4 linked regions of the Anolis sagrei genome follow. The protein of the gene in region 4 interacts with the protein of the main gene of each other region in a pairwise test. Links are inferred from orthologs where the notes say so. Each region holds a gene or a part of one and is shown on either strand. Other genes may lie near its edges.

The links.
Region 1: the proteins of TK1 (region 4) and GAPDH interact in a two-hybrid assay, tested with the Homo sapiens proteins (2 studies listed by BioGRID and IntAct). The link is inferred for Anolis sagrei from reciprocal best matches to the Homo sapiens genes TK1 and GAPDH.
Region 2: the proteins of TK1 (region 4) and ERG28 interact in a two-hybrid assay, tested with the Homo sapiens proteins (2 studies listed by BioGRID and IntAct). The link is inferred for Anolis sagrei from reciprocal best matches to the Homo sapiens genes TK1 and ERG28.
Region 3: the proteins of TK1 (region 4) and RBM48 interact in a two-hybrid assay, tested with the Homo sapiens proteins (2 studies listed by BioGRID and IntAct). The link is inferred for Anolis sagrei from reciprocal best matches to the Homo sapiens genes TK1 and RBM48.

Annotation. Positions count from the first base shown.
Region 1 is NC_090022.1:197,266,901-197,273,911, forward strand, and holds the start of GAPDH (glyceraldehyde-3-phosphate dehydrogenase), read left to right. Parts: upstream 1-4,010; 5' UTR 4,011-4,117; intron 4,118-5,475; 5' UTR 5,476-5,498; coding exon 5,499-5,521; intron 5,522-5,983; exon of another isoform or gene 5,984-6,246; intron 6,247-7,011. UniProt on the Homo sapiens protein: Has both glyceraldehyde-3-phosphate dehydrogenase and nitrosylase activities, thereby playing a role in glycolysis and nuclear functions, respectively.
Region 2 is NC_090021.1:305,424,170-305,431,987, forward strand, and holds the start of ERG28 (ergosterol biosynthetic protein 28 homolog), read right to left. Parts: upstream 3,016-7,818; 5' UTR 2,928-3,015; intron 1,577-2,927; 5' UTR 1,562-1,576; coding exon 1,429-1,561; intron 1-1,428.
Region 3 is NC_090026.1:102,564,780-102,572,279, forward strand, and holds the start of RBM48 (RNA-binding protein 48), read right to left. Parts: upstream 3,014-7,500; 5' UTR 2,985-3,013; coding exon 2,865-2,984; intron 1-2,864. Other genes in the region: peroxisomal ATPase PEX1, read left to right, coding at 3,349-3,468, 6,573-6,716. UniProt on the Homo sapiens protein: As a component of the minor spliceosome, involved in the splicing of U12-type introns in pre-mRNAs.
Region 4 is NC_090022.1:128,418,843-128,426,306, forward strand, and holds the start of TK1 (thymidine kinase, cytosolic), read right to left. Parts: upstream 3,011-7,464; 5' UTR 2,879-3,010; coding exon 2,813-2,878; intron 2,528-2,812; coding exon 2,496-2,527; intron 232-2,495; coding exon 118-231; intron 1-117. UniProt on the Homo sapiens protein: Cell-cycle-regulated enzyme of importance in nucleotide metabolism. Catalyzes the first enzymatic step in the salvage pathway converting thymidine into thymidine monophosphate.

The sequences.
Region 1 (7,011 bases), about 69 Mb from region 4:
TTAGAATGTGCTCTTTAACTACCACTATTCACTGGGTTGCTGTAGGTTTTTTTCGGGCTCTATGGCCATGTTCTAGAGGCATTCTCTCCTGACGTTTTGCCTGCATCTATGGCAAGCATCCTATGCTTGCGAAATGCCTATTATGCTTGAAATTTCTCTCTGAGTGATACGACGATCGTCCTGAATCAATCTGTCAACCTTTTGCTTGGGAAACTCAGTGGTTGCTGTCACAGGACGTCCAACTCTTTGTTTGTCACTCAAGTCAGATGTTCCCACCTCAACATCTTTAAACTTATTCACCGAACGACGTACAGTACTCACATCAATACAATCACCATAAACAGCTTGCAATCTCCTTTGGGGTGATACCTATGCTGTCAATAATTCAATGACTGCACATTGACTGACCGTCTGCACAGGGTTCCATACTTCAAGAGTCCAAAAGTGGCAGGCTAAAACCCGAAACCTCAATCAGTGGCAGAAACTGAATCAGAAACTCCCCCCCCCCCCCCCGGGCATACAGTAGACTGGGCGACTTGAAAGGCACTGAGCAGGCTGTGCTCTGGCACTACGAAATGCAAAGCCAGTCTTAAGAAATGGGGCTACAAAGTGGAGTCCACAACATGCGCGTGTGGAGAAAAGCAAACATTCTACAATGCAGCCTGAGCACTGCCACATACACATTGCAGGACCTTCTTACAGCAACACCAGAGGCACTCCGAGTGGCCAGCTTCTGGTCAAAAGAAATCTAGTATGATATCAAGTTTTTAACTTTGTTTGTATTTTGTTTAATACATTATAACTGTATCCTCAATTCGCTTCTGACACAATAAATAGATAGCAGAGTTAATAGAGCAGGTCAAGAGAACTACTTCCAACCTCACCACCCCCCAAATAATTTCCACTTGTTACCCTGGCAACCGCTGACATCACTCTTGGAGGGATGGGAGGACTTCCCCTTGGTTGAGTTTTTAACAAAAGAAGGGGTTGTGGGAAAAATGCCTGGCCCTCGGCTTCTTTTGCTGATGCTGAAGGCCTCAAAGTGTAAAAGTTTCCTTCAGAAAGTGAAGTGTATTGAAATGTAGCGCCTCTGCATTATATAGCAGTGTGGACCCATTTATTATTGTTATTATGTAGGTATTTATTATTAAGTTATTATGTGTTTATTATTAGCTATATATTTATTATTGTGATTATTACATGTGTATTCTGTTAAAGGTAAAGGTTTCCCCTTGACATTAAATCTAGTTGTGTCTGAGTCTGGGGAGTGTTGCTCATCTCCATTTCTAAGCTGAAGAGTTGGTGTTGTCCATAGATGCCTCTAAGGTCATGTGGTCAGCATGACTGCATGGAGTGTCATTCCCTTCCTGCTGAAATGGTACCTATTGATTTACTCACATTTGCATATTTTCAAACTGCTAGGTTGGCAGACGCTGGGGCTAACAGCGGGAGCTCATCCCATCACTGGATTTGAACTGCTGACCTTTCAGTCATTAAGTTCAGAAGTTCAGCAGTTTGACTGGCTGTACCACCAGGGGTTCCTATGCATTGTGTTATATGTATTATAATAGTGTTGTGTTTCATCTCTCCGTTTTCATCCTGCTGTATCCACAAGGAGAGGCAGGTAACAATATTGTTATACTATGTAACAACATTTGATAAAATGTATCTTCCTGGTTTGAAAGGGTTATTTCCTGTTTAATTGTGCGGTACTTCCTTTAAAGTAGCTGTTATCCTCCAGAAACTGCCACAAACTTGAATTGGTTGAGATTTTATGAGGTATTCGTTGAAAAAACCAGGGCCCCTTCCAGAGAGCTGAATAAATTCCCACATTTTCTGCTTTGAACTGGGATATATGGCAGTGTGGACTCAGGTAACCCAGTTCAAAGTAGATATTGTAGGATTTTCTGCCTTGATATTCTGGGATATAGGGCTGTGTGGAAGGGCCCTGAGTCCACACTCAAATATTGTGGGATTTTCTGCCTGATATTCAGGGTTATAGGGCTGTGTGGAAGGGCCCTAGAGCAAAATGTGATGCAGAGTGTCCCACAAAAACAAAAGTTTTTTGGAGTTTCATAAGCTTTTTCTGTGTTCTTATGATAGAACCAAGTGAAAAATGAAATTTTTAACCCAACAAAAAAAATGTTACATATATAGGCCCTTTCCACACTGTCTTATATTGCAGGATCTGATTCCAGGTTGTCTGCTTTAAACTGGATTAGATGAGTCTCCACTGGCAGATAATCTGGGATAACAAGATAATTTGGGATCAGATCCTGGGATATAGGGGCAGTGTGGAAATGGCTGCCAATTCTCTTGAAAGCTTTGTATCAATTTGTTTTCTTTAACAAGGTCAGATACTTTATCTGATTCTGCCAAACTGAGAAGTTTTTGACAGACTCTGCTTCCCTGGAGACTACGACGTGGAGCAGTGACTTCAAACTACAGGAAAGGAGATTCCACCTGAACATTAGGAAGAACTTCCTAACAGTGAACACTTCCACACAGTCCTATATCCCAGAATAACAAGGCTAAAAATCCCAGAATAACTGCTTTGACCTGGGTTATCTGAGTTCAAACTCAGATAATGTGGGATTTTCTGCTTTGATATTATGAGATACAGGACTGTGTGGAAGGGCCCTGAGAGCACACTCAGATAATGTGGTATTTTCTGCTTTGATATTCTGGGATACAGGGTTGTGTGGAAGAGCCCTCAGAGAGCTGTTCAGCAGTGGAACTCTCTGCCTAGGGGGGTAGTGGCAGCTCTTTCTTTGGAGGTTTTTAAACAGAGGCTGGGTAGCCATCTGTCAGGGGTGCTTTGAATGCGATTTCCCTGCTTCCTTGGTAAGAGGTTGAATTGGATGGCTCCTGAGGTCTCTTCCAACTCTAGGATAATGTGATTCTATGACTCTAACTGGAGCTCCCGGTGGCGTAGTGGGTTAAACCGCTGAGTTGCTGAGCTTGTTGACCAAAAGGTCGCAGGTTCGAATCTGGAGAGCGGCGTGAGCTTTGGGTGTCAGCCCCAACTTCTGCCAGTTTACCTGTTTGAAAATATGCAAATGTGAGTAGATCAATAGGTACCACTCCAGCAGGAAGGTAACAGTGGTCCATGTAGTCATGCCGGCCACATTACCTTGCCTATGGACAACGCCGGCTCTTCGGTGAGTAGATGAATAGGTACCAGCGGGAAGGTAACGGCGCTCCATGTAGTCATACTGGCCACATGACCTTTAGAGGTGTCTATGGACAACCCTGGCTCTTCGGTGCATAGATCAATATGTACCACTCCAGCGGGAAAGTAACGGCGCTCCATGTAGTCATGCTGGCCACATGACCTTTGGAGGTGTCTATGGACAACGCGGCTCTTCAGTGAGTAGATCAATAGGTACCACTCTAGCGGGAAGGTAATGGCACTACATGTAGTCATGCTGGCCACATGACCTTTGGAGTTTTCTATGGACAACACTGGCTCTTTGGTGAGTAGATCAATAGGTACCACTCCAGCGGGAAGGTAACGGCGCTCCATGTAGTCATGCTGGCCACATGACCTTGGAGGTGTCTATGGACAATGCCGGCTATTCAGCTTAGAAATGGAGATGAGCACCAACCTCCAGAGCCAGACATGACTGGACTTAATGTCAGGGGAAAACCTTTACTATTGACTCCAACTTTGTAGACAAAGGGGTGAGCTAAGCCGAGGCGAAGGGCACCTTTCCTTCCTGAGTATCGATAGCCATGGCAATAAGGGGAGTCAGTCCACCCCCATTAGCAGCCTCGGAAAAGGGGCTCCCATGGAGGCCCCCGAAGTGGGAAGTCTGCCTTTCTATAAAGAAACAAAGGGGCGATGTGGGGCGAAAGGGGTGAGCCTGGGAGGGAAGGAGGGAGAAGGGAGGGAGGAGGGCCTTTGGGCCAGGAAAGGGGTGTGGGGTAGGGAAGGCAAGAAGGGGCGGGGAGGAGGCTGGAGCTGTGATTTGGGGCTGCGCCTTCGGGCCCTGATTCGGCAGAGCCGGGCCCCTCCTTTTCCTCAGCCAACTCTATAAAGGCCCCGACCGAGGGCCCCTTTCCTGCTTCACCTCCTCACTGCACCGCAGAGCTGAGTTCGGCCAGGATCCCAAGGGTAAGGCCAAGGGGAGAAGCAGGGAAACCAGAGGGAGGGAGGCCTGGACCCTCCTAGGGATCCCCCCAAAGCCAGGGCTCGCACAGTGATAGGGGTCGGGGTACGGCCTGAGAAGAAAGAGGGGCCCCAAAAGGAGGGCAGGCAGTGCCTAGATTGAGTCAAGAGCGCGAGGACAAAGTTGCAACAAGTTTCAGGCGCCCAGTTGGGGCTGATCGCCTTCCAGGAAGTGAGGCTTCCTTCCTTCCTTCTAGAAGGGGTGGGGTGGGTTCATTTCCCCTCTAGGAGCCTCCGAATAGGGGCGTGGCGGTGGCTGCAAAGTTTCCCCATCTAGAGAGCCCCTCTCTAACTTTAGGGAAAGTTTTATCTTTTGAGCCTCTTCCATACAGCAGAATATAGGGATATAAGGCTGTGGAAGGGCCCAAACTCTTCAAGGGCTCCCTCTCCCCAAAGGCTCTTCCACACAGCCCAATAATTCAGAATATCAAGGCAGGAAATCCCACGTTTTTTTGCTTTGAACTGGAGTATATGGCAGCGTGGACGCAGATAACCAGTTCGATGGAGATCTTATGGGATTTCCTGCCTTGATATTCTGGGATATAGGGCTGTGGGGAAGAGCCTTTGGATAGTCTGGTCCCTTCCACACAGCGCTATATCCATTAATATCAAGGCAGAAAATTCCACAAGATCTGCTTGGACCTGGGTTATCTGAGTCCACACTCAGATAATGTGAGATTTCCTGTGATATTCTGGGTTATAGGGTTATGTAGAAGAGCCTTTGGAAAGAGGAAGCCCTTGGAGAGTTTGGGCCCTTCCACACAGCCCTATATCCATTAATATCAAGGCAGAAAATCCCACAAGATCTGCTTGGAATTGGGTTATCTGAGTCCGCACTCAGATGAGATTTCCTGTGATATTCTGGGTTATAGGGCTGTGTGGAAGAGCCTTTGGGGAGAAAGAGCTCTTGTAGAGTTTGGGCTCTTTCAGACCACCCTATATCCCTGAATATCAAGGCAGAAAATACCACAAGATCTGCTTGAAACTCAGATAATATGGGATTTCCTGTGATATTCTGGGTTCTAGGGCTGTGTGGAAGAGCCTTTGGAGAGAGGGAGCCCTTGGAGGGTTTGGGCCTTTCCACACAGCCCTAATAACCCAGAATATCATGGTAGAAAATCCCATAATATTCGCTTGGAATTGGATTATCTGAGTCCACATTCAGATAATGTGGGATTTTCTGCCTTGATATTCTGGGATATAGGGCTCTGTGGAAGGGCCCTTTGTCTCAAGACTTTAGGGAAACCTCTGTCGGGAATCATCCTTGGTTTGAACCCTTTTCTTCTTTTTTCCCCCTCCTCCAGAATCACCTTTTCCAGAAAGCAAGATGGTGAAAATCGGAGTCAACGGGTGAGTGGGGAAAGGGGAAAGGCAGGCCGACGTGCGGGAGGGCAGCCTGGGCATGGCAGGCAGAAAGGGGCAGGACTTGGGATGGACAGGGGGGAAGCCCCTCCCTCTCTTAGGCCTCTTCGTCTGTCTCTGAGGGGTAGCCCTTGGAGACCTTCCCAGCCAATAGGGAAGCCTCCCTCCCTCCTGTTCTTGGCCGGCAGACAGTGCTGCCTTCTGTCCCTCACAAGGACATCTCAAGGTCACCTCTTGTGTCTCTCCCCCTCTCAAAGGGACCCTGCAGCTGTTTTCTTCCAAGAGAAGTCCCCTTCTTCTCCTTTTGCCCTGTGCAACAGCTGCCCACTTAAACAAACGGTCCACCTTTTAATCCCCATCTTCCTGGCTCCCTCCATTTCCTTTTGCCTACTTCTGGGGCAGGGAAAACACGTGGAGAAGAGCAAAAGGGCTGGTGACTCATTTACTTACTGACTTTCCGGAGCTGGGCTGCTGAGTCACAGCCGGCAGGAAGCAGCCCTAGCCGCAGGGACTTGAGAACTTTTTCTCCTTCCTTCCTTCCCCCATCCCAGAAAGCCTATGGAAAGGTCCACCCAAGAATGTGTGACCTTCTGCTTGCGATGTGCGGGAGACTCAAAGCTGTAACCAGATCAGGCTGCCACATCTCTGGTGCCTGGGAGAGAAGCTAAAGTTAGTGCCTGACCTTTCTGTGGCAGGAGCTGCGGGTGCCAAAGGGAAAGGTTCCCTGAGAGGGTGCTGCGGGAAAGGGAGGGCATGTATCTCAATGCTGCTCCCAGTAACATCGCCTGCAAACACATACACACACACACCGCAAACCACTGGCAGGAGGCATGCTTTGCATGTATGTAGCTCAAGCTTGGCGTCTCCAGGATCTCCGGTTGCAAGGCTGTGAGGCACCTTCAAAGCAACCCTGCGGGGAAGCTTTACAAGCAGATGCACTTGCTGCCAAGAGAAATGTTAACGCTGATCTAGTAGGGGAAATCCAAGCCTTCCCACATGTTGCCTTGCCCCTTAGATCTGGCAGTGGTGAGTTTCGCCTTTCAAAGGAAGGCCTTGAAAGGCCATCAAAAGCATAGTCAGATTTCACTTGTCATGCAAAGAAGCTCTTTGAATTCAGACACAAAACCATCCTCAGAAAAATAGTGCCTAGTCCACCCAAAAACTTTCAATTTCTTGCAATTGTAGGGCTCTGAAAGTGTTGCCATCCTGCAAATGTGAGGGTTTTTAACCTCTTCTCTACCTGCAGTCAGTGATGGCTGGTTTTATGTGAAAGACAGCCTTAGGGCACTTCCACACATCCCTATATCCCAGAATATCAAGGCAGAAAATTCCACAATATCTGCTTTGAACTGGATTATTTAAGGGCCCTTCCACACAGCACTGTACCCCAGAATTATCAAGGTAGAAAATTCCACAATATCTGCTTTGAACTGGATTATCTAAGGGCCCTTCCACACAGCATTGTAACTTGGGGCCCT
Region 2 (7,818 bases), on a different chromosome or scaffold from region 4:
TCCTTCTCTCCTCCCTCCCTTCCCTTTCTCCCTCTCCCTAGTACCTTCCACCCTTTTGTCCTTCCTTCCTTCTCTCTTTCCTCCCCCCCTCTCTCCCTTTCTCCTTTCTCTTTTGTCTTTCCTTCTCTCCTCCCCCCGTTTCCCTCCATTCCCTTCCACCCTTCCTTCCATCTTTCTCTTCCTATCTTTTTTCCTTTTCTTGTTCCTTCCTCCTTTCCTCCTGGGGGATGTTTAGCTGAGAGGAGAGAAGGTAGAATCCCCTTGGGGAAATAGGGCAGGTTATAAATACAGTCTTATTATTATAATAGAGAGAGAACACAAGAGCCATGTTTCAAGATTGAGGAGGAGGGGAAAACTGATTTTCTACTGCTCTAGAGACCAGGACACAAGGGAGCAATGGTTTAAAATGGCAGGGAAAGATATTTGACTGAAAAGAACTTCCTAAGAGTAAGAGCTGTTGGAGAGTAGCATAGGCTGCCTCTGAGTGTGGTGGAGTCTCCTTCTCTGGAGGCTTTTACACAAGGGTTGTCTATTGGGAGTGCTTTGATTGTGCCTTCCTGCATGGCAGGGGGATGGACTGGATGGCCCTTGGGGGTCTCTTTCAGTGCTTGGATTCTATATCAGGAGTAGGCAATACGGGGTCGAATGTATATACTTTTTCTCTCCAGTCCACCATCTCATCCTGACCAAGACCAACCCTTTTGGGATCCAAACGTTTCCTGTCTTTCCTTCACTTTCTGCCTTTGAAAGAGAAGAGGAAGGGGAGGAAAGGGCAGGAAGGGGACTTGGGGAGAACCCCCTTCCTCCTGGCCCACCATGTGGCCCCCAAGTTAGAAAGTTTGCCCATGCCTTCAGTAGTCTCTCAGTCAATCTGAAGCCAAGCAACTGGAACTCTCAAGCAACTGGCAAAAAAAAAGTCAAAAAACTAAAACATCAAATGTAAAAAGCTGTTTTTATAATATAGTAAAATACTAAAACTGTGTTACGTTAAGTTTGTCTTTACTGTTTTAATTTTAATTTCTGCATTTGAATATTAATATCAAATCAATACAAAGTTTATGGTATGGCTTGGCACAACTAGGGATATAGTATCAGTTAGGCCTATTTTGAATAATAATTCTCAAGGAATAAAAAACTATATTTATCTGGCAGCTGCCAATCCCTGTGGTTTCTGGTTAACTGGGAAGCTACTAAATTACGTACCTATTTATCTGAAAGCTGCTGCAATATCTTTAAAGGCTTTTAAACTTTTAAAGAAAAAACACTGTGAGCTACTTCAAGGAGTAAATGTTTAAAAATTAAAAAAAATATGATATATGAACAAGCATTTCCAAACCTCAAACAAAATATAGATCTTAAGGCTAAAAGTTGAGTATTTCCCATGTGTAAAAAAAGAAAAAAAGAAAATAGCCTTCCTGAATATCTTACCAAGGTTTGGCTTGCCTGTGTACAGCTTCTCAGAGAGAAAGCTGTGATCTCTGAAGCTTTGCACTGTGTTCCCCATGGCAATGATGGACACCATAACTAGCCAGCTACGGAGCACATTCAGGAAACGGCTCATCTTGCATCACACAACCTGCTCAGGGGAACAAAGGCAGATTCTGGAGTTCATGATACCACTCTGCATCATAATTCATAGTCACATTAACTATCCTCCACCAAATGTTTGCATACTTATCTCCTAGATCAGTCGACCAAGAGTGGGAATCATTGAATTCCCCAGATGTTGCAGAACTGCAATTCCCAGCATTCCTTACAATTGCTTAAGTTGTTATCACAGCTGGGAATTGCATTGCAGCAACATCTGGAGAACCACAAATGTTCACCTTCAGAATGGACCTTTGGAGGGGGAAAACCACAGTTACATCCACCACTTTCTATAAGGATCACCTAATTAAAAAGATCATGCTCCATAATAAAGACAAAGGACCTCATCACACTAGAGCATGTATCCACTTTAAATCCAGTTTTTGCCTCCTGCAGAATTCTGGGACTTGTAGTTTAGGGGGGGGGCTTTACACTGTTCAGCCAGACACGTCCTGGGCCTCACTAAACTACAAACCCCAGAATTCTGCAGGAGGTGGATTTAAGGTGGATCCATGCTCTGGTGTGATGAGGCTGAAAGACAGAAACCTTATATCTCATCTACTGAGATATTGGCATGAGGTTAGTTACTGAATTGTCTCTGGTACCATTTCTGTACTGACCTAATTTGGGGGGAGGCGTAGCAGAAGCAACATTCAAAAATGCACACAGAGGACTAGTTGCACATCAATGTTGCTAATTCATTTGTTTTATCCCTGCACTCAGGTAGGATACATCTACTCTCTCGACTTAATACACTTTGACAGCACTTTAACTTTCATGGCTCAATGCTATAGAATCATGGGAGTTGTAGTTTTATGAGGTCTTCATTCATCTCTATCAAAGAATGCTGTTATCTCAACCAAACTACACCTTTCAGGATACCAATGCATTGAGCAATGGAAGTTAAAGTGGTTTTAAACTGCATTCATTCTATAATGTAGACACACCAATTTTTCAGTGCATAACAGGGGAGGCCAGATAACTAAGAAAAAAGGAAAGTATCAGGCAAGCAGGTGGATTTTTTTTTTTTTTGCTGTTCCTGATAGCCTGTCTCCTATTTTAATTTTAATATAGGAGCACCCACAGGATGCATATTTAGCAATAATGCACTGGAAACTTACTTTTTAAAAAATTGCAATACATCCCAATACAAAGATATTGCATTTTGGCATGCTGGAAACACCTAGCGACCATGATGTCCATCATCCTTGTCAAATGTCATTTTCTCTTGACAACTCTAATATTACCTGCCACCTGTTCCCTAACTTCATAACACCAACCCATCCACAGGGCAGTCCTCCATATGCAGCCCCCCCATCAAGGAATACCTCTATGCCTACCTTGCTCTTTAACAGGTTGTCTACCTGGTTCCCAGAGGCAGCAAGCTTTCCACCCTACCTCCAACCCAAGGAGCTGTAGCCACGCCCCCTTCGCTGCCTGCGCAATGATTGGCCCGCTGTCAGGGTTGTCGTTCTCCTGATTGGTTGTCACCTCCCACTCCAAGTCTTAGCCCCGCGCCACGCGAATGGCTGAACGGATAGGTCAATCAAATATTTTGAAAGCGATTGGGCCGTTGTGACGTCAACACAGAAGGGGCGGTTCGATGAGGCAAATTGCACCACTGCCCTCCCTTCCTGGTTATAAAAGGATATTGGACGGCGCCATATTGGAAGAGGCATGTGGAAATGAATGAGGGGGGATTGGATAGGTGCGCATGCGCAACTGGGGAAAGCGCCTCGGGCGGGAGTGAGGAGCCTGCGCTTGCGCAGACGCGCCTTCGATGAGGGAGCGAGCGAGGGAGGGAGGAAGGCGGTTGCTGGTTGGTTGTTGTAGTAACAGAGCGAAGCGCCGGCAAGAGGAGCCGCGGCTGCCGGGCCCTCCAGGGAGATGAAGCCGCAGGTAAGGGCGCCACGGGCTTCAGGAGCGGCAGAGTGGGCACTCACCCTCGGGAGGCTCCCAGGAGGAGGGCAGCAGGCGGTGTCTCCTACTCCCTCAAAGGTCCTGGGCCTGTCCTGAGGGGGGAACGGGGAGCAGCCTGCTTTGGCCCAGAAGAGAGAGGCCGCTCAGGGACACGGCAACACGGGCGGGAGGGGGAAGCGACTTGGTTGGACTACAACTCCCAGAATCCCCAAGTCCCCACGCTAGATTCAGTATCTATAGTGTTTATTTATTATTTATTTATTTACTTTGATTATATACCGCTGTATCTCAAGCCCGAAGGCGACTCACGGCGGTTCACAAACAGTAAAAACAGTAGAAACAGCAGTGGTTCCATACAACATATAACAATTGACTTAACACATTATCCATAAATTACCAATAAGCAATTACAATGCACAATTATTACAAAAAACAACCGTACCCAATCTTCTCATCATCCAAGCGTAGTCCAGGTTCGTCGTCCATTGTTCCATTCCTATGTTCCATTACCAGATTGCACTAAATTACTCAAACGCCTGCACAAACATCCAGGTCTTCACCTTTTTGCGGAATACCATTAGAGATGGTGCTAGTCTAATGTCCGTAGGAAGGGCGTTCCACAGGCGAGGAGCCACCACCGAGAAGGCCCTATCTCTCGTCCCCGCCAGCCAAGCTTGAGAAGCAGGCGGGATCGAGAGCAGGGTCTCCCCGGAAGATCTCAAACTCCTGGTGGGTTCATAGGCAGAGATGCGGTCAGATAGGTAGCTTGGGCCGGAACCGTTTAGGGCTTTAAAGGCCAACGCCAGCACTTTGAATTCAGCCCGGTAGCAGATCGGTAGCCAGTGGAGTTGGCGCAACAGGGGGGTTGTATGCTCCCTGCGCTCCGCTCCTGTTAAAATCATGGCTGCCGAGTGTTGGACTAGTTGGAGCTTCCGAGCTGTCTTCAAAGGCAACCCCACGTAGAGAGCGTTGCAGTAGTCTAAACGGGATGTAACCAGAGCGTGGACTACTGTGGCCAAGTCAGACTTCCCAAGGTATGGGCGCAGCTGGCGCACAAGCTTTAGCTGTGCAAATGCTCCCCTGGTCACCGCCGAAACCTGGGGTTCCAGGCTCAGCGATGAGTCCAGGGTCATACCCAAGCTGCGAACCTGCATCTTCAGGGGGAGTGCGGCCCCATCCAACACGTGTTTAACATAGATTTAACATAGATCAAGTGTTTAACATAGATTTCAAATTATGTAAACAAAACACAGTATAACCCAGGCATGGGCAAACGTGGGCCCTCCAGGTATATTGGACTCCAACTCCCACAATTCCTAACAGCCGGTAGGAAAAGTGTTCCTGCCATACATCAAGGGAACCACTGACCGCATAGGGAAACTGATGAGGAAACACAACATACAAACAATCTACAAATCTCACTGTACACTGTCTTCTTTGTTGTTGTTCACCGCCCCGAGTCGCCTTCGGGCTGAGAGGGGCGGTCAATAAATGCAAGAAATAAATAAATAATAAATAATACAAACCCACCAAGAAAATCCAACAAATGCTACGTTCAGCAAAGGACAAGAGGGATCCTCTCACCTCTGCAGGAGTCTACCGTATACCATGCAGCTGTGGACAAGTCTACATAGGGACCACCAAACGCAGCGCCCAGACACGCATCAAGGAACATGAAAGGCACTGCAGACTACTTCAACCAGAGAAGTCAGCTATAGCAGAGCACCTGATGAACCAGCCTGGACACAGCATATTATTTGAGAACACAAAAATGCTGGACCACTCTCACATCCACCATGCCAGACTACACAGGGAAGCCATTGAAATCCACAAACATGTGGACAATTTCAACAGAAAGGAAGAAACCATGAAAATGAACAAAATCAGGCTACCAGTATTAAAAAATTCTAAAATTGCAACACCAAAAAAGAGAGAAAAACAGGCAGGGACATCTAATCACCTTTCAAGAAGAGTTTGCTCCAGGCACAGTCAGCCCATTGTATGCTAATCAAGGTGGTCAGTTGAAAGATTCACACCTAGCCCAAACTTACAAAAGCCCTGTGTCTCACCCTGGTCATTCCACAGATATATAAACCCCTTTTTTCCCCAGTTCCAGCAGACCTCACCTCTGAGGATGCTTGCCATACATGCAGGCGAAACGTCAGGAGAAATGCCTCTAGAACATGGCCATATAGCCCGAAAAAACCCACAAGAACTGAGCTGGTAGGAATTGTGGGAGTTGAAGTCCAAAACACCTGGAGGGCCCAAGTTTGCCCATGCCTGATATAACCACACTTGGTCTCTCCAGGTGTTTTGGACTTCAGCTCCCACAGTTCCTAACAGCCTGTAGGAAATGTTAATCATTTCCACTACCTTGGCAGCCACCTCTCCACAAAAGTCAACATTGACACTGAAATACAACACCGCCTGAGCTCTGCGAGTGCAGGTTTTTTTCCGAATGAAGCAGAGAGTGTTTGAGGGCCGGGACATCCGTAGGGATACCAAGGTGCTTGTTTATAAAGTTATTGTCTTCTCAACCCTGCTATACACCTGCGAGACATGGACTGTCTACAGAAGTCACATGCAACTCTTGGAACGATTCCATCAGCGCTGCCTCCGGAAAATCCTGCAAATCTCTTGGGAAGACAAGCGGACAAATGTCATCGTGTTGGAAGAAGCAAATACTGCCAGCATTGTAACCCGGGACCGAAGGCTGGAGACCTCAGTACACTATACCTGGGACGTCGACCTCTTCCACCGAGCGCGCAGCTTCGGGAGGGACGCACATGGAGGTGAGGGAGGAAGGGGACACCTGCCTAGCCAGCCAGATCAGCCGAATCAACCCTGGCGATCAGTGGGGTGACAGATGTCGCAGCCAGATCGCCCTCACATCCCTGCCAGCATCGAAGCAATGGTCCTCCGCCATCAACTCTGCTGGACCGGCCATGTTGTCCGGATGCCTGACCACCATCTCCCAAAGCAGTTGCTCTGCTCTGAACTCAAGAACAGAAAATGGAATGTTGGTGGGCAGGAAAAGAAATTTAAAGATGGGCTCAAAGCCAATCTTAAAAATTCTGGCATAGACACTGAGAACTGAGAAGCTCCAGCCCTTGAGCGCTCCAACTGGAGTCAGCTGTGACCAGCAGTGCTGTAGAATTTGAAGAGGCATGAATGGAGGGCAAAAGAGGGAAGCGTCCCAAGAGGAAGGCGTGTCAAGCCAACCCCTTCAGGACCGCCTTCCACCTGGAAACCAATACCCTCACTGCGGGAGAAGATGCAGATCAAGAATAGGGCTCCACAGTCACCTACGGAGCCACCGCCAGTACACTGATCATGGGAGACTATCCTATTCGGAAAACAAGGGATCGCCTAAATCAAAATGAAATGATAGGAATTGTGAGAGTTGAAGTCCAAAACACCTGGAGGGCGCAAGTTTGCCCATGCCTGCTCTAGCAACTATTAAACACACATTCTACACTCCCGCCATCTCCCTCCACCAATATACATACATATCTGAGAGTGACATGGTTTTAAAATGTGATTTTCTAGTGATTGCAATTCACAGGTGTCTTGTTTTCAAAGAGGCCTTGCTTGCCAGAAATTGCTGATGCTTAGAAAATGCTGCCACAGAGAGAAGTTCACTACCTCTACTCATTACTCACCTCACTACCTCTGAGGATGCTTGCCATAGATGCAGGCGAAATGTCAGGAGAGAATGCCTCTAGAACATGGCCATATAGCCCGAAAAAACCTACAACAACCTAGTGATTTCGGCCATGAAAGCCTTTGACAATACAGAGAAGTTATTATTGTCTATGTTTTCCATGGCTCAATGATACAAGTTGCTAGATAATACTGCACACCCTCCCTCCTTAATTTCTCACAGGCATGTAGAGAAACACCAAACAAGTAGATAAGTTGACCTGTGGCTCCACAGCTCAGGGTCAGACATTTAAACTGTACTATTGTTATAGGCGTCTGCTGTTGGAAAGATAGAAGAACCAAGGAGATTCCATAATTGTCAGCTAAGGCCAATGAGATGATTGATTTCTGTATACCAATCAAACTGTGCCTTCTGTTTTTAATGAGAGTCATAAATATTAATGTAAACTAACTTTAGGTAGGACAAACTCTTTGATCACATTCTCATGTGCGTGTTTGTCACTATTGCTGTTGTTGTTGTTGTTCATTCGTTCAGTCGTCTCCGACTCTTCGTGACCTCATGGACCAGCCCACGCCAGAGCTCCCTGTCGGTCGTCACCACCCCCAGCTCCTTCAAGGTCAGTCCAGTCACTTCAAGGATGCCATCCA
Region 3 (7,500 bases), on a different chromosome or scaffold from region 4:
TCACTACATTATTTAGCACCAAGATTACACTTTAATTGTAATACTTATACCCTATGAAACCCAATCCTGCGGGGAGGCTTCTCCCATGTCTCATGGCCTTGTGCTTTGCTGCTGAATATGCATGCCCAGTGTGGAATATATCACACCACGTTAAAACAGTAGATGTGGCTCTTAATGAAACGTGCTGCATTATCACAGGACGCCTACACCCAGAACTGCTGGAGAAATTACACTGCTTAGCTGGTACTTTACCATCTCGTATCTGCTGGGAAGTAGCAGCCAGTAATGAAAGGACCAAGGCAGTGACATCTCCAGCTCATCCTCTGTTCAGATATCAACTAGCACGCCAACGCTAAATCAAGGAAAATTTTTAAGATCTACAGAGATACTTGCAGGAACACTTCAGCAATCAAGAGTCCAAAAGTGGCAGGCTAAGATCCAGAATCTCAAGCCTCCGCTGATACCCAATGAGAGACTTCACCCCTGGGCACACAGAAGATTAGGCAACCTGGAAGGCACTGAACAGACTGCGCTCTGGCACGAGGTGCAGAGCCAACCTTAAGAGATGGGGCTACAAAGTGGAGTTCATGACATGCGAGTGCGGAGAAGAGCAAAGCACAGACCATGTATTACAATGCAGCCTGAGTCCTGCCCCACGCACAAAGGAGGATCTTTTTACAGCAACACTAGAGGTACTCCAAGTGGCCAGCTACTGGTCAAAGGACATTTAGTATTGAAGGAGGAATAAGTATAAGAAAACTATTAAGTTGCTAAATGCTCAGCTATATAGGAAATTGGTTTGCGGTTTGGCGCGACACCGAAGTCTGCAAGTAGAGAACAAATTGTGGTTTTGACAGCCTAACACCTTGAGAACAACAGGAAACCAGGCAAAGTGCACAAACCTATGTTTTGAACTATTGATAGGAGAGAGACTAAGAGGAGCAGAAGTAAAGACACCTTTTTGTTTGTTTGTTTGTCATGTCAGGAGCGACTTGAGAAACTGCAAGTCACTTCTGGTGTGAGAGAATTGGCCGTCTGCAAGGACGTTGCCCAGGGGACGCCCAGATGATTTGATGTTTTTATCCTCCTTGTGGGAGGCTTCTCTCATGTCCCTGCATGAGGAGCTGGAGCCGACAGAGGGAGCTCATCTGCCTCTCCCTGGATTCGAACCTGCGACCTGTCGGTCTTCAGTCCTGCCGGCACAGGGGTTTAACCCACTGCGCCACCGGGTAACTTTCCATGACAAAAATACTCTTGTTTACCAGACTATATAAAAGCTTTGCTTTTGTCAAGGAGGCGCGGCAGTCCTTATGAAGTGTGGGCGCCTGCGCGTGTCCTACACGACTGTCCGACTCCTTCATGATCATGAAAGAATAAAACTTTGCTTTTGATCTTCCTCCTGGGACTGCCTCTTTCCTTGCGCCTCCCGTGGCCTAGACCTTAGTATTAAGTCCCAAATTAGGGTCTCTAACAGTATAATGCCAAGTTTTTTAACTCTTCTGTTGTTTTTTTAATTACATTACAGCTGTACCCTCGGTTTGCTTTTGATATGATAAATAAATATCCTAGTTCCAACAGACCTCACAACCTCTGAGGATGCTTGCCATAGATGCAGGCGAAACATCAGGAGGGAATGCTTCTAGAACATGGCCATATAGCCGGAAAAAACCAACAACAACCCAGTGATTCCACCCATGAAAACTTTCAACAATAAATATCATATAGTGTGATACAGCTCACAGCTAGTCACCAAAACACAGATAGCACTGAATCCTAATGCTAAGGTGAAGACGGTGGACATGATTCATACCCAGACCTAAGACCAGGCATGGGCAAACTTTTGGGCAGCCTCCTTCCTAGCCTGGCATCTTGTTGCCATGGCAACAGGAAGGGCCTAGCAGTTATCCTTGCCTTCTCGTAGTGACCTTTCGTTTCCCACTTATAGCAACTCTTTAGAAGACCTGGGCAAACTTTGGCCCTGTGGGTATTTTGGAGTCCAACTCCCACAGTTCCTAAAGCCTCAGGCCCTTTCCTATAGTGTCTAGATCCAGTGAAGTAATGCTATTCTCCCTTGGTCAGACAACATCTGGAACACTGTGTCCAGTTCTGGGAGATATTGAAGAGAGATATTAACAACCTGGAATGTGTCCAGAGGAGGGCGACTAAAATGATCAAGGTTCTGGAGAACAAGCCCTATGAGGAGTGGCTTAAAGAGCTGGGCATGTTTAGCCTTAAGAAGAGAAGGCTGAGAGGAGACATGATAGCCATGTATAAATATGTGAGATGAAGTCATAGGGAGGAGGAAGCGAACTTGTTTTCTGCTGCCCTGGAGACTAGGACGCGGAACAATGGCTTCAAGCTACAAGAAAGGAGATTCCATCTGAACATGAGGAAGAACTTCCTGACTGTGAGAGCCGTTCAGCAGTGGAACTCTCTGCCCCAGAGTGTGGTGGAGGCTCCTTCTTTGGAAGCTTTTAAACAGAGGCTAGATGGCCATCTGTCGGGGGTGCTTTGAATGCAATATTCCTGCTTCTTGGCAGGGGGTTGGACTGGATGGCCCAGGAGGCCTCTTCCAACTCTATGATTCTAACTTGGGAAGGCCAGGGATTAGTAAACACTACATTTAGAAATTAGGGGCGCAAGCATACTGCAGAGATATAACAGTTTGACACCGCTTTAACCCCCATGGCTTAGTGCTACAGAATTCTGGGGTTTGTAGTCTTGTGTGAGAGATAAAATTCAATTCTAGTGCCAACTACAACTCCCATGATCCCATCGCCTTGAGCCATGCCAACGAAAGCGGTGCCAAACCGCTCCAATGCTTCGGTGTGGCTGTGCTGCGCGTAGAATGGATGGCGTTTCACCTTCACAGCGCGGGGACGGCGCCCCTCGCGATACTTGGCCCGCGAAGCGCAGATGCCCAGCTGCGCGTGGTGCTGGTGGGCGCCCCCGACTTCACCGCCTCTGCTCTTCTCAGTCGCCATTTTTTCCCTCCGACCCGCTCATGCTCCGGCTTCTTCCGCCCGTCAACAACAACCAATCCAGTGATGAGCTTGCGTTGATCCCGCCCCAGAGGCGAGCGGTATTGGAGGAAAGGATTAGATGGGGGGGTGAAGCGCCCCAGCCAATCACAAGCGAGGAACGGGAGGCAAGTTGTAAACATCATTCTGTCACAGACCACCAATCGGATGGCCCGCTTTCATTGGCTCCTCCCCCGGAGCGGAGCAAAGCCAATCACAAGCGACGGGCTGGAAGGAGTCCTCTGGATGTCATTGGCCTGAGCGGAGAAGCCGGAAGAGGAGCTCGGCGGCCCACTCGTGTGACACCCAGCCCGCCTTGGAGGCCGCCATGTGGGGGGCGGGCGGGCCTGGGGTGGCCGCCGCCGCCGCCACTGTCTCCTTGAGCGGCGCCCGGGACTGCTTCCTGCACCTGCCGCCTGGCTTGGCTTCCAGCCTCCGTCTGCAGCAGGTACAGGAGGGCAGGGACGGGGAGGCTGCATCCGGGACTTCGCTTTCCGTGTCCCTGAGGTGACATCCGGGCCTCTCTTTTGGGCAGCCTCCTTCCTAGCCTGGCATCTCGTTGCCTGGCAACAGGAAAGGCCTAGCCGTGGTCCTTGCCTCCTCGTAGTGAGCTTTGGTTTCCTATTTATAGCAACTCTTTAGCAGGCTTGGGCCAACTTGGGCCCTTGGGTGTTTTGGACTTCAACTCCCACCATTCCTAACAGCCTCAGGCCCTTTCCTTTCCCCCCTCAGCCGCTAACCCCAAGGGCCCAAGTTGGCCCAGGCCCGCCTTAAGAGTATTCTACGTTCATGCTTTACTAGTTGTACTGTCATAAGAAATTCAATGTGCAGATTTGACAAATATGAATTTAATATGATGTGTGGGAATGAATGGAAGGATGTATGGAGTTAATAATTTTGGAAATACCAGTAAAAGACCCAGGCCTGCAATGACTAACTACTTGCTTGCTGGACTTGCTAGTGAGAAACCCTGATAAGAACTGGGACATTGATAAAGGAAATGTTTGCAATCTTCCTTATGTTAAGAAGGAATTCAACACAAGCCCTGTGGTTGCCATCGCCAATCAAGAAGAGTCAACATCTGGCCAGGAAACTGAGATGGATCCAGGATGGAAGACATCTATCATTAATTTACAACTTTGGGACTACATCAACAGAATATTCCTACAAAAGACTCAGTCTAATAATGATCAAATTGTGACCAACCTGACGAATCTGGTTCACCCGCTGTGCTCTGCTCCATGGGAAGGAGAGAGATAGTGAACCAATGGATAGTGGCAGATTTGAACGGGAGCAGTCTGGTCACTTTGGGGCTTCTTTCTCAAGGGAAGAGGAAGAAGTGTGCTTTTGGAGTCTTAGGTTTTGTGCAGGGAGGCAGGTTCTGCTGTATTGAAAACAGAGATCTGGTTCTTGGCATTGTTCTTAGGAAAAGACGTTTTGGTGTTATTTATTATTTATTTGCTTTATTTTTATACCGCATTTTTCAGCCTAAATCGGCGACTCAATGCGGTTATGGAACTATGTATTGGCAGGCTGCAGGAAAGCAGGGTCTGGCCTAACAGGTGCTTCTCCAAGGAGGGAGAAAATTATATGGTAATATTTGGGTGCATGAGGATGAATGTGTGTGCATGTGGTGTGAATGCTGAGTGAAAATGTAATTCCCTTTGTTTGTTAGCCATGTAGTTATGAATCCAATGTAGTTGCATAGAATCTGTATGTCTAATGTCATTCTTTGTCTAAATGTTTTTCTGTAATCTGATATACCTTCTTACACTGGAAATTGCAATAAAAAGAACCTATGCTTCAAAGTTATTGAAAAGTCATTCATGACAGTACTGCACAGAGCAATGCAATTCTCTAACATTTCCAAAAACAGGCCACACTAGTTCTATAATATTGTTATTATTTCAGTGTAAAGTCATAGAATCATAGAGTTGGAAGAGACCTCATGGGCCACCCAGTCCACCCCCCTGCCCCCCAACAGATGGCTATCCAGTCTCTGCTTGAAAGTCTTCAAAGAAGGTGCCTCCACCACACTCTGGGGCAGAGAGTTCCACTGCTGAACAGCTCTCACAGTCAGAAAGGTCTTCCTAATGTTCAGGTGGAATCTCCTTTCCGCCATTGTTCCACATCCTAGTCTACAGGACAGCGGAAAACAAGCTTGCTCCCTCCTCCCTATGACTTCCCTCACTTATTTATACATGGTCATCATGTCACCTCTTAGCCTTCTCTTCTGAAGGCTAAACATGCCCAGCTCTTTAAGCCACTCCTCATAGGGTTTGTTCTTTAGACCCTTGATAATTTTAGTCGCCCTCCTCTTAGTCCAAAACAAAGGATCATGAAGTGAGATGGTTTTCTGCTCCCAATCCCACAACAAAGTTTCAAGTGCACTGTTGCAACCAAACTAACCAATAGTAGTTTATGATCCCTAAAATTTTAGAGACTGGAAGAATTTAAAAATGTCCCTTGGTGCCTATGGACTGCATGAGAGTGAGAAAAGAGGGGCAGCGTTTCACTGTCTCATTTATTTATTTATTTATTTACGGTGAAAGCTGTTCAGCAGTGGAACTCTCTGCCCCGGAGTGTCATGGTGGTTTCTTCTTTGGAGGCTTTTAAACAGGCTGGATGGCCATCTGTCGGGGGTTCTTTGAATGCTATTTTCCTGCTTCTTGGCAGGGGGTTGGGCTGGATGACCCACGAGGTCTCTTCCAACACTGTGACTTTATGATTCTATGATTTGTATACTGCCCTTCTCAGCCCGAAAGTGACTCAAGGCGGTTTGCAGTCGGCAATAATTCGATGCCCCACCAGACGTAAAATACAGTTAAAAACATTTAGCATATAATATAAAAACCATATAAAAGCAATAAAAACATAAATCATCAGCATCTTCTTACTAAAGTCATTTTCCAGTCCCATCGTCAAGTCATTCCATAGTTCCATATTTGCCTGTTACGCTGCATCTGGGAAAGCAATATACAAGTAAAATATCACAATTAAAACAGCAAAGAAAACACTTATGGGGGATCTTTTTGACAGAAAGAATCTGCAAGGAAAAGGTTCAGAGAAAACAAGGAAGCAGAAACTCTTCTGAAACATTAACATCTGGGAAATGTTAATACTCTATAGATAATAATAATAATAATAATAATAATAATAATAAAAGTAATAACTCCATCGCCCTGAAGGGACTCGAGGCAGTGCACAAGGGGACATGCCCACCAAAACAGGTTAGAACAAGCATATAAATATAATCATCAACAACAGCAAAAACAAATAAAAACATCATAATCAAACAACATCATGGCTGAACAACAAATGATGGGTTCGGACTAATGATTCCTAAGTGCAACAAATTCCTACATAGAGCCAAGGGAAAGTGTGACAATCTGAGCGTGGAGCTAGGAGGCTAATGCCCTTACGATAAGCATTCATAGACTCAAGTTACAAAAGTACTGTATCTGTAGCCACTTGTTGATGTCAGACAAAGAATAATGAGTGATGCATGCTGTTACTCCCTCTCCTTTCTCTCATTTTAAATGGAATTAACAGGATCAAGCTGTGAAAACTTCCTGGGACAATCAGACTGTGTTCCTGGGCTGGACAGAAATCAGGCATTGTCGTCAGTGTAGTGGCAACATTGTTGAAATAAACAGACAGCTAGCAGAGAAACTTGGCATCAAAGATGGACAACAGGTTTGAAATTTAGAATATTACAAGAATAAAATTGTTGTTGTTGTTGTTGTTGTTGTTGTTGTGATTTAGAATCCTGATTGTGCCATTGCATGTGGATTTTGTTAATTTTAAATGTTACCGCCCATTTGCCTCCTAGTGGAAATTCCCTTTTAAGGACATTGTGTATCCCATCTAAGGAAATGTACAGAACTATGCCATTCATTGTAGCGCTTGTTCTATTACTATGTGATTGTGTACTAATTCAGTTTCTACCAGGAAGAAGTCAGAGGTGTCTAACCAGCAGGGGGAGTGTTTGCCCTATATGAGCAAAAGTGACTACATTCCCCTCTCCTCACCTTTATAGGTACACTAGCTGTGCCCTGCCACGCGTTGCTGTGGCCTATAGTAAAACTTATCAAAGTTGAGGTAGATATCTGGACTATTATGAAAGAGAGGTCCCTACCTATTCCTTCCCCCTTTTCCTCCCCCTTTCTCTCCTTTCTTCCTTCTCTACCTCTTTCTTTCTTTCCTTCTTTCACTACTTGGTTTCATCCTTCTCTCTTTCCTTCATTCCCTCCCCCTTTCTTCCTTTGCCTTTCTTCCCTCCCTGTTTGCTTCCTTCTTTCACTTTTTATTTCCTTTTATTTCACCACCATCATAACAATAACAATAATGCAATGCATTGCCTCCGGGACCTGACACCTCTCCCATTCCCCCTAAAAGGGTCTCAGAGGAACAATAGCATAATAATAATAATAATAGAAATAACAACCTTGACCCACCACGTGTTGCTGTGGCCAATCTT
Region 4 (7,464 bases):
AGAACAACATACATGTATTTTGTACCCACGGTTGTTTTTTGATCAAGCAAAAAGAATTACATTTGAATTTTCTTTCTGTTAAGGTGAACTGTATATACAATGCCTTTAGCGCCTCACCTGTCATGCGTGGAAACTCCATTGACACTGTAGCGCATGTCCTTCGCGTACTTGATCAACAGGCACTTGTACTGCGCAATCTGGAAACGTCGGACTCTGCGCATGAGTTCGGTACTGCAAAAACAAGAAGGGAGGCTACTCAGGAGTACTTAGCACCCAGAGGAGGAGGACTGAAGCACAAAACTAGTGACTTTGATCACCCTGCCTCAAAAAACCCATAATGCCTGCTATCTCCCCAAATCGATCTCCCTGCCAGGCCCTTTGATTAACGGCATTCCTTACAATTTTACCATCAGAGAAACAGCAACATTATAGGTCTGGACAAGGCATGGGCAAACTTGGGCCCTCCAGGTGTTTTGGACTTCAACTCCCACAATTCCTAACAGCCTAACAGCCTTTAAGAATTGTGGAAGTTGGTCCAAAACACCTGGAAGGCCCAAGTTTACCTGTGCCTGGACTCTGAACATGTGAGTCCAGGCACACAGTCCAATCCCAGCTTTATAAGAAAGATAGGCAATTATTGCTATTTTCTGGTTTCCCCCCTTTCCTTACAGTTTCCATCAGCCTACCCAGCAGTAAGGAATTTGGGGAGTTTTAGTCCAAAATAACCAAATATAAAGGACACCAGTTACCTGTCCCTGCATTACAGGAAAGAAAGTGCATAGCCAGTGAAATAAAAGTAGAGTCATGGCTGACCTTCCTGGGAACAAAGATGCCACCAAGTGTGGCTCAAAACACACTCTGGCACATATCTTAACAAATATATAATCCATCAAGATATGCTTTGGTTCCTTTTTGCCTAGGTTTCTATATCACAGCCAGTTTATAGACTTGCCTTTCCCATATCAGTTTCCTCCAAATAGTTTGAACTTCTGGGTTGCTGTGAGTTTTCCTGGCCATACGGCCATGTTCCAGAAGCATTCTCTCCTGACATTTCACCCACATCTATGACAGGCATTCTCAGAAGTTGTGAAGTCTGTTGGAAACTAGGCAAGTGGGGTTTATATATCTGCAGAATAATGTCCCGGGTGGGAGAAAGAACCCTTGTCTGCTTGCGCAAGTGTGAATATTGCAATTGGCCACCTTGATTAGCATTAAATAGCATTGCAGCCTCAAGGCTGCTTCCTGCCAGGCCTTGAGGCTGCAAGGCTATGTAATGCTAATCAAGGTGGCCAATTGCAACATTCACACTTGCCTCACTTGGAGGTGTTACCTCACCCTGATTGAATCTTATCTGGAATTCCCCTCTTTTGTTAGTGTTCTTCTTTATCTACTGCCCTGATTTTGGAGTTTTTAAGTATAGTTAGCCAGATTTTTTTTTCATTTGCATGGTTTCCTCCTTTCTGTTGAAATTGTCCACCTGTTACTGAATTTCAGCAGCTTCTCTGTGTAGCCTGACATGGTGGTCGTTAGAGTGGAGGAAACTATGAAAATTTTTAAAAAAACTCTAAAATCAGGACAGCAAATAAAGAGCAACACCTACAAAGCAGGGGAATACCAGGCAGGAATTCCAGCTAACACCTCCCAACAAAGGCTCCCCCAGGCAGTAAGCAGCCAGGCTTTGAAGCTGAAAGGCCATTCAGTGCAAATCAAGGTAGCCAATTGCAACATTCACACTTGCCTCCAACAGACAGGCGTTCTTTCTCCAACTCTGAACATTATTCTAGATATATAAACCCCACTTGCCAAATTTCCAACAGACCTTACAACCAATGAGGGTGCTTGCCATAAATGCAGGTGAAACATCAGAAGAGTATGCTTCTGGAACGTGGCTAGAAAACTCACAGCAACCCAGTGATTCCGTCCATGAAAGCCTTCGACAACAGTTTGAACTTCCATTCCCAATGCTCCTATCAGGAATATAGGGAGCTGTAATCCAAAAAACCTGGACTTTACCACCTTCTGTGGCATTTTATGAAAGTGCAGGCAAGAACTATCTAGTCCAACTTCTGCTGTGCAGGAATTCACAGTTAAAGCTCACTGAGGCTGGATCTACATTATATGATCAGAATAGAACCATACAATGCAGTTTAATGTAGTTAAACCACATTATTTGGGTCTATACTAGGCATGGGCAAACTTTGACCCTCCAGGTAGTTTGGACTTCAACTCCCACAATTCCTAACAGCCTACTGGCTGTTAGGAATTGTGGGAGTTGAAGTCCAAAACACCTGGAGGGTCAAAGTTTGCCCATGCCTGGTATATATTGACCATGCAATGAAATTCCAAACTGCATTAGATGGCAGTGTAGATCCAGCCTGAGGGATTATCATGAGAACACTAGTAAATGTAATTGATAGTACTTGAACATGTAATGAAACCAGAACCCAAGTCACAGTTGTGTTCAGATACATGTTCATTTCATCTCTCTAACATACCTTTTCCCGGAGAACATGGGTCCAAAGATGACCTAAAGTGGGGAAAGAGAGAAAAAAACCGTGTTGAATTTTACCCCGTTCGTGTATTAGTTGGTCCTCCTTATCCACGGTTTCTGTATCCACTGATTTCCCCATCCACGGCTTGAAAATATAAAACCAGTCACAAAAAAAGGATGCCTTGATTTTCCCAACGTTATATAAAGGACACAATTTCCCCACTCCATTGTCTATAAAGCCCCTGACCCATAATTGCAGACCCTGCATCCCAAACTCTCATTGACCCCCCTGCCCTCCCCAGAAATATCTCCTTTTCCTACCTGGATCTGGCCCCGGGCCTTGCGAGGCGACCCCGGCTGCACCCCTGGCATCATCAAGCAGTTCATCTTCCCAAATCCCGCCGGTGTTTCAAGGCACAGACGCTTGAATCAACAGCCTCTCCTTTCAGCGCGCCGTTTTTGCCCTCTTTTATAGCCGGCGCTGACAATGGACCAATCAGAACGGGCCCTGGCACCAAACTGGCGCTCGAAAGACACTTCGGCGCGTCCTGGCCAATCACAGGCCAGGCGGGAAAAAACTACATTCGAAGTGGTTGACCGCCTTCGCCTCCAGAAGCTAAAGAGGGAAGTCTTCCTCCTCTCATGTTTTGCTGATTGGGGAAGAGGCATACACACACACTTCCGGAACTAGTCTTTTGAAACTCTTTGGTCTTATCAAAACGTCATTTTCTCCTTTGTTTGCGGAGACTTTCATCTTCATAGAATGAAACAGCTTGACCCCCGGCTCAATACCATGGAATCCTGGGAGCTGTAGTTTTCCAAGGCCTTAGCCTTTCCTGCCAAACTACAAATCACACTATTCCTTAGTAGTTAAAGTGGTTTGCAGTTTCTCAAGTCGCTCCTCACACGAAAAAAAATATTAAAGTGGGTTCAAAGCCTAAAATGTATTGTCGAAGGCTTTCATGGCCGGAATCACTGGGTTGTTGTAGGTTTTTCCGGATTATATGGCCATGTTCTAGAGGCATTTTCTCCTGACGTTTCGCCTGCATCTATGGCAAGCATCCTCAGAGGTAGTGAGGTCTGTTGAAAATACTAAACTGGGTTTATATATCTGTGGAAAGACCAGGGTGGGACAAAGGACTTTTGTCTGCTGGAGCTAGGTGTGAATGTTTCAACTGAATGTTTCAACTTGATTGGCATTGAATGGCTTGGAAGTGCTACACAGACTACACAGATAAGCCATTGAAATCCACAAGCATGTGGACAATTTCAACAGAAAGGAAGAAACCATGAAAATGAACAAAATCTGGCTACCAGTATTAAAAAACTCAAAAATTACAACAGCAAAACAGCAGAGAGTAAACAACCAGGCACATCAAATCACTCTCAACAAAAGATTCCCCCCAGGCACTTCCAAGCCATTAAATGCTAATAAAGGTGGTCAGCTGAAATATTCATGTAGGGGACCCCCTGCTTGGGGTCCTTGCTGAGTCCGTCACAGAGGGCAGCAAAATGAAGAGAGTCTAGTCTCCAGAGGTAAAGCAGAAAATCTCTTTATTTCAAGTGTGGCCACACAGGGAGAAACAGCCCAGACAGACCAGTGTCTTCAAAGAGAGCTGTCTCTGATATTTGGATATTTCAGTCTCCTTATATACATGTCTTTTCACTGTGTCATGGGCACACACCTCTCTTATCGGATCAACCATTCAAAAACATGTTTTTCTCATATTTTGCCACTTCAGTGTCTTTCACTGCTAACCTTCTACAAACTACGTAAACACACACATTATTGTTACAGATAAGCATTTTGGGTGTTAACCCACCCTGAGTACTCTCTAGGCGAACTTGACAATACAGTATCTTGTGTCTTCCAGATTCATTATCTCCTCTTAGCTTTTGGTCTTCTGCAGGCCAGAGGAGAGGCACAAACCCCTCTCTAGGTTTGCATTTTAGAATTTCAACATTTCTGAGTTCTGTTAGCCCCTTCACTCCTCCATTATTTTTTTTTTTGCGAAAGCTGATCATACAGAAGCTGAAGCAAGATCAATATCTAGTTATAACATTTTTATGATACCCCAGCATTCTTGTAATCACCACCAATTGCCACGAAGTGGGAACCGCACTTGTGGTGAACTTATCACACATCTTCATGATGATGGGAAAATACATCAAGGAGAGCTCTCGTGCACACACACATTCATTCATACTCATGCACACACAGGCCTTCTCCGGCAAAGATGATCAGTCTTTTCTGAGGAAGCGTGGACACTCCATTGCTGCAGTTCAGGAAGCATGGAGATTGTCAGGGGTCCCCTGCATTTATAGGCCAAAATCCATTTTTCTTCATTTCAACAGCAGGTTGCTCTGTCCTCTTACTAAAGGACAATATGTCTTTGTTCTCTCCAAAGTTCAAGACATTAGCATTCCAGGCCTCATGACTTATGGGGTACCTCCTGCACTCCTTACATGCTCGGCCGCATACCTCATTGTCCATTGTTGTTCAGTTATGCCTTGCTGCCTCCTCGCTTCGACTGCCAAGTTCATCCCATATCATGCCTTGCGAGAACTCCATGTTGGTTTTTCTTCAGGCCTGTTTCTTCTCTTTTCCATGCATTCAAACATTCATTCCTCACATATTCCTCCCCTTGATACATAAATGCTAATTTATCGTATCACATACATGATCCATACATGATAAGCAATTCAGTGTTGGTTATACTTATAATCAAACTTGATTAAGTGTAGAGTACATATGTTTAGGTTAATATTGAACTTGTATGATTAATCAAACATCATAGTTCATAAATGTGTTTCTAAACACGTTAACTTGTTTTCAAATATAGATAATCGATTTGTCAATCCTGTCATTTGTCTAAGAGGCCATAAGATCCAAATGATTGGCAGCAATATAAGTATCCCTATCCATACTATTAAATGTATCCTATGAAGATATCATACCAGTGGTGTTCTGTGTTTCCACCAATATAAATCATTAGGTGATATAGCACATAGGCATTACATTCCATTGTCATATACCATTGTTTTGGGCTTTAGCTTTTGTAACCTGCAGATTGCATCTGCCATTTCCAATGCACATGGTTCAACTTGTTTTACTGTTAAAGGACATACATATCCCATTTATTGCATCTATCAATATCAATTATTTCATTCAAATTTGTATATTTGGACCTTGTGCATATGGTTTTCTTGGATAACAAATATGGAACCCAGAACCATTTTCCCACATGCATAGGCATAGGAACTATATCACAAACCAAATTTTTTTCAAATATTGACCATTTTTCCCAAGGTTTCCAGTTTCAATCTTAGTATATCATCTTCCCAAGAATATTTGACAAGCTTACTCCATCCTTTATAATCTGTTCTTAACCAATAATGTAATTTTGTTAATTCTAGGAAGGCTTCTGAGTGTCCTCCCATTATTAACATCAACATTTTTCTCTCCAATCTCTCAAATTTATTTCCATAGTCAAACAACTCATAGACTTACTTATTTGTTGTAAGGTTTCATTTTTAGCTTTCATTAAAGCAACCAAGGAATGATTCAGCTGGTCAAATATACTTAATTGCAATCCGGCAGTAATCCCATGTACCAAAGCTGTACTTCTCTATTTGAAGCTCAATATTCTTCATCCGTTGTATTCTGTGTCTTTCCTTCTATCACTTGGTTGATCTGATTCAAAACATCATTTCATCCTTATTTTTTCTATACCCTTTATACAATAAATCTTACACTTTATACCATATATTGCTTTCATTTGTGTTAGAGCAATTGTTCTTTACCAGTCATGTATTATTATTATTATTATTATTATTATTATTGCACTCCTTAAAAACTATAAAACACAAACAATACATATATTTACTGTTCCAATTAATAGTCCAATTGCAATTTTTTTCATAAGCTTTGCATCCTTTTAATTGGTGGCCAGTTGCATTCCTGTTTAGAAACCAAATAAAGGGGGATATGATAGCCATGTATAAATATGTGAGAGGAAGCCACAGGGAGGAGGGAGCAAGCTTGTTTTCTGCTTCCCTGGAGACTAGGACGTGGAACAATGGCTTCAAACTACAAGAAAGGAGATTCCATCTGAACATGAGGAAGAACTTCCTGACTGTGAGAGCCGTTCAGCAGTGGAACTCTCTGCCCCGGAGTGTGGTGGAGGCTCCTTCTTTGGAGGCTTTTAAGCAGAGGCTGGATGGCCATCTGTCAGGGGTGATTTGAATGCAATATACCTGCTTCTTGGCAGGGGGTTGGACTGGATGGCCCCTGAGGTCTCCTCCAACTCTTTGATTCTATGATTCTATGATTCTATGAAAACTGTTAATTAACTTGCACAGCTTTCCAAGTTTTTCCTGGTTCGGATGAACCCACTTCTATTTATCATTAGCCTGTAATCAATAAGGATGAGGATCTTCTGCTCAAAACTGCAAACACTTTATGAAAACTATCATCAATAAGAGTGAGACTAAATAAAATCTAAAATTACATATATCATGAATGACTTTTCAATGATTTTAAAGCATAGGTTCTTTTTAGTGCAATTTCCAGTGTGTGAAGGTATATAAGATTACAGAAAACATTTAGACAAAGAATGACATTGGACATACAGACATACAGATTCTATGCAACTACATTGGATTCACAATTACATTGGTTAACAAACAAACCAGAGGTTCCCAAAAGACATCACGGCTCTGTTTCACCATTGCCTCACCACCAGTTACTTTCAGTGGGACAATGAATTCTACGAACAGAAAGATGGAGTAGCTATAGGGAGCCCTCTCAGCCCGGTCATAGCTAACTTCTACATGGAACACTTTGAAAAACAAGCCCTGGAGACAGCAACCAAAAAGCCCACGATATGGTTCAGATATGTGGATGACACCTTCACCATTTGGAGCCATAGAGAAGAAGAACTCAAACGGGTTCCTGGACCATCTTAACAGCA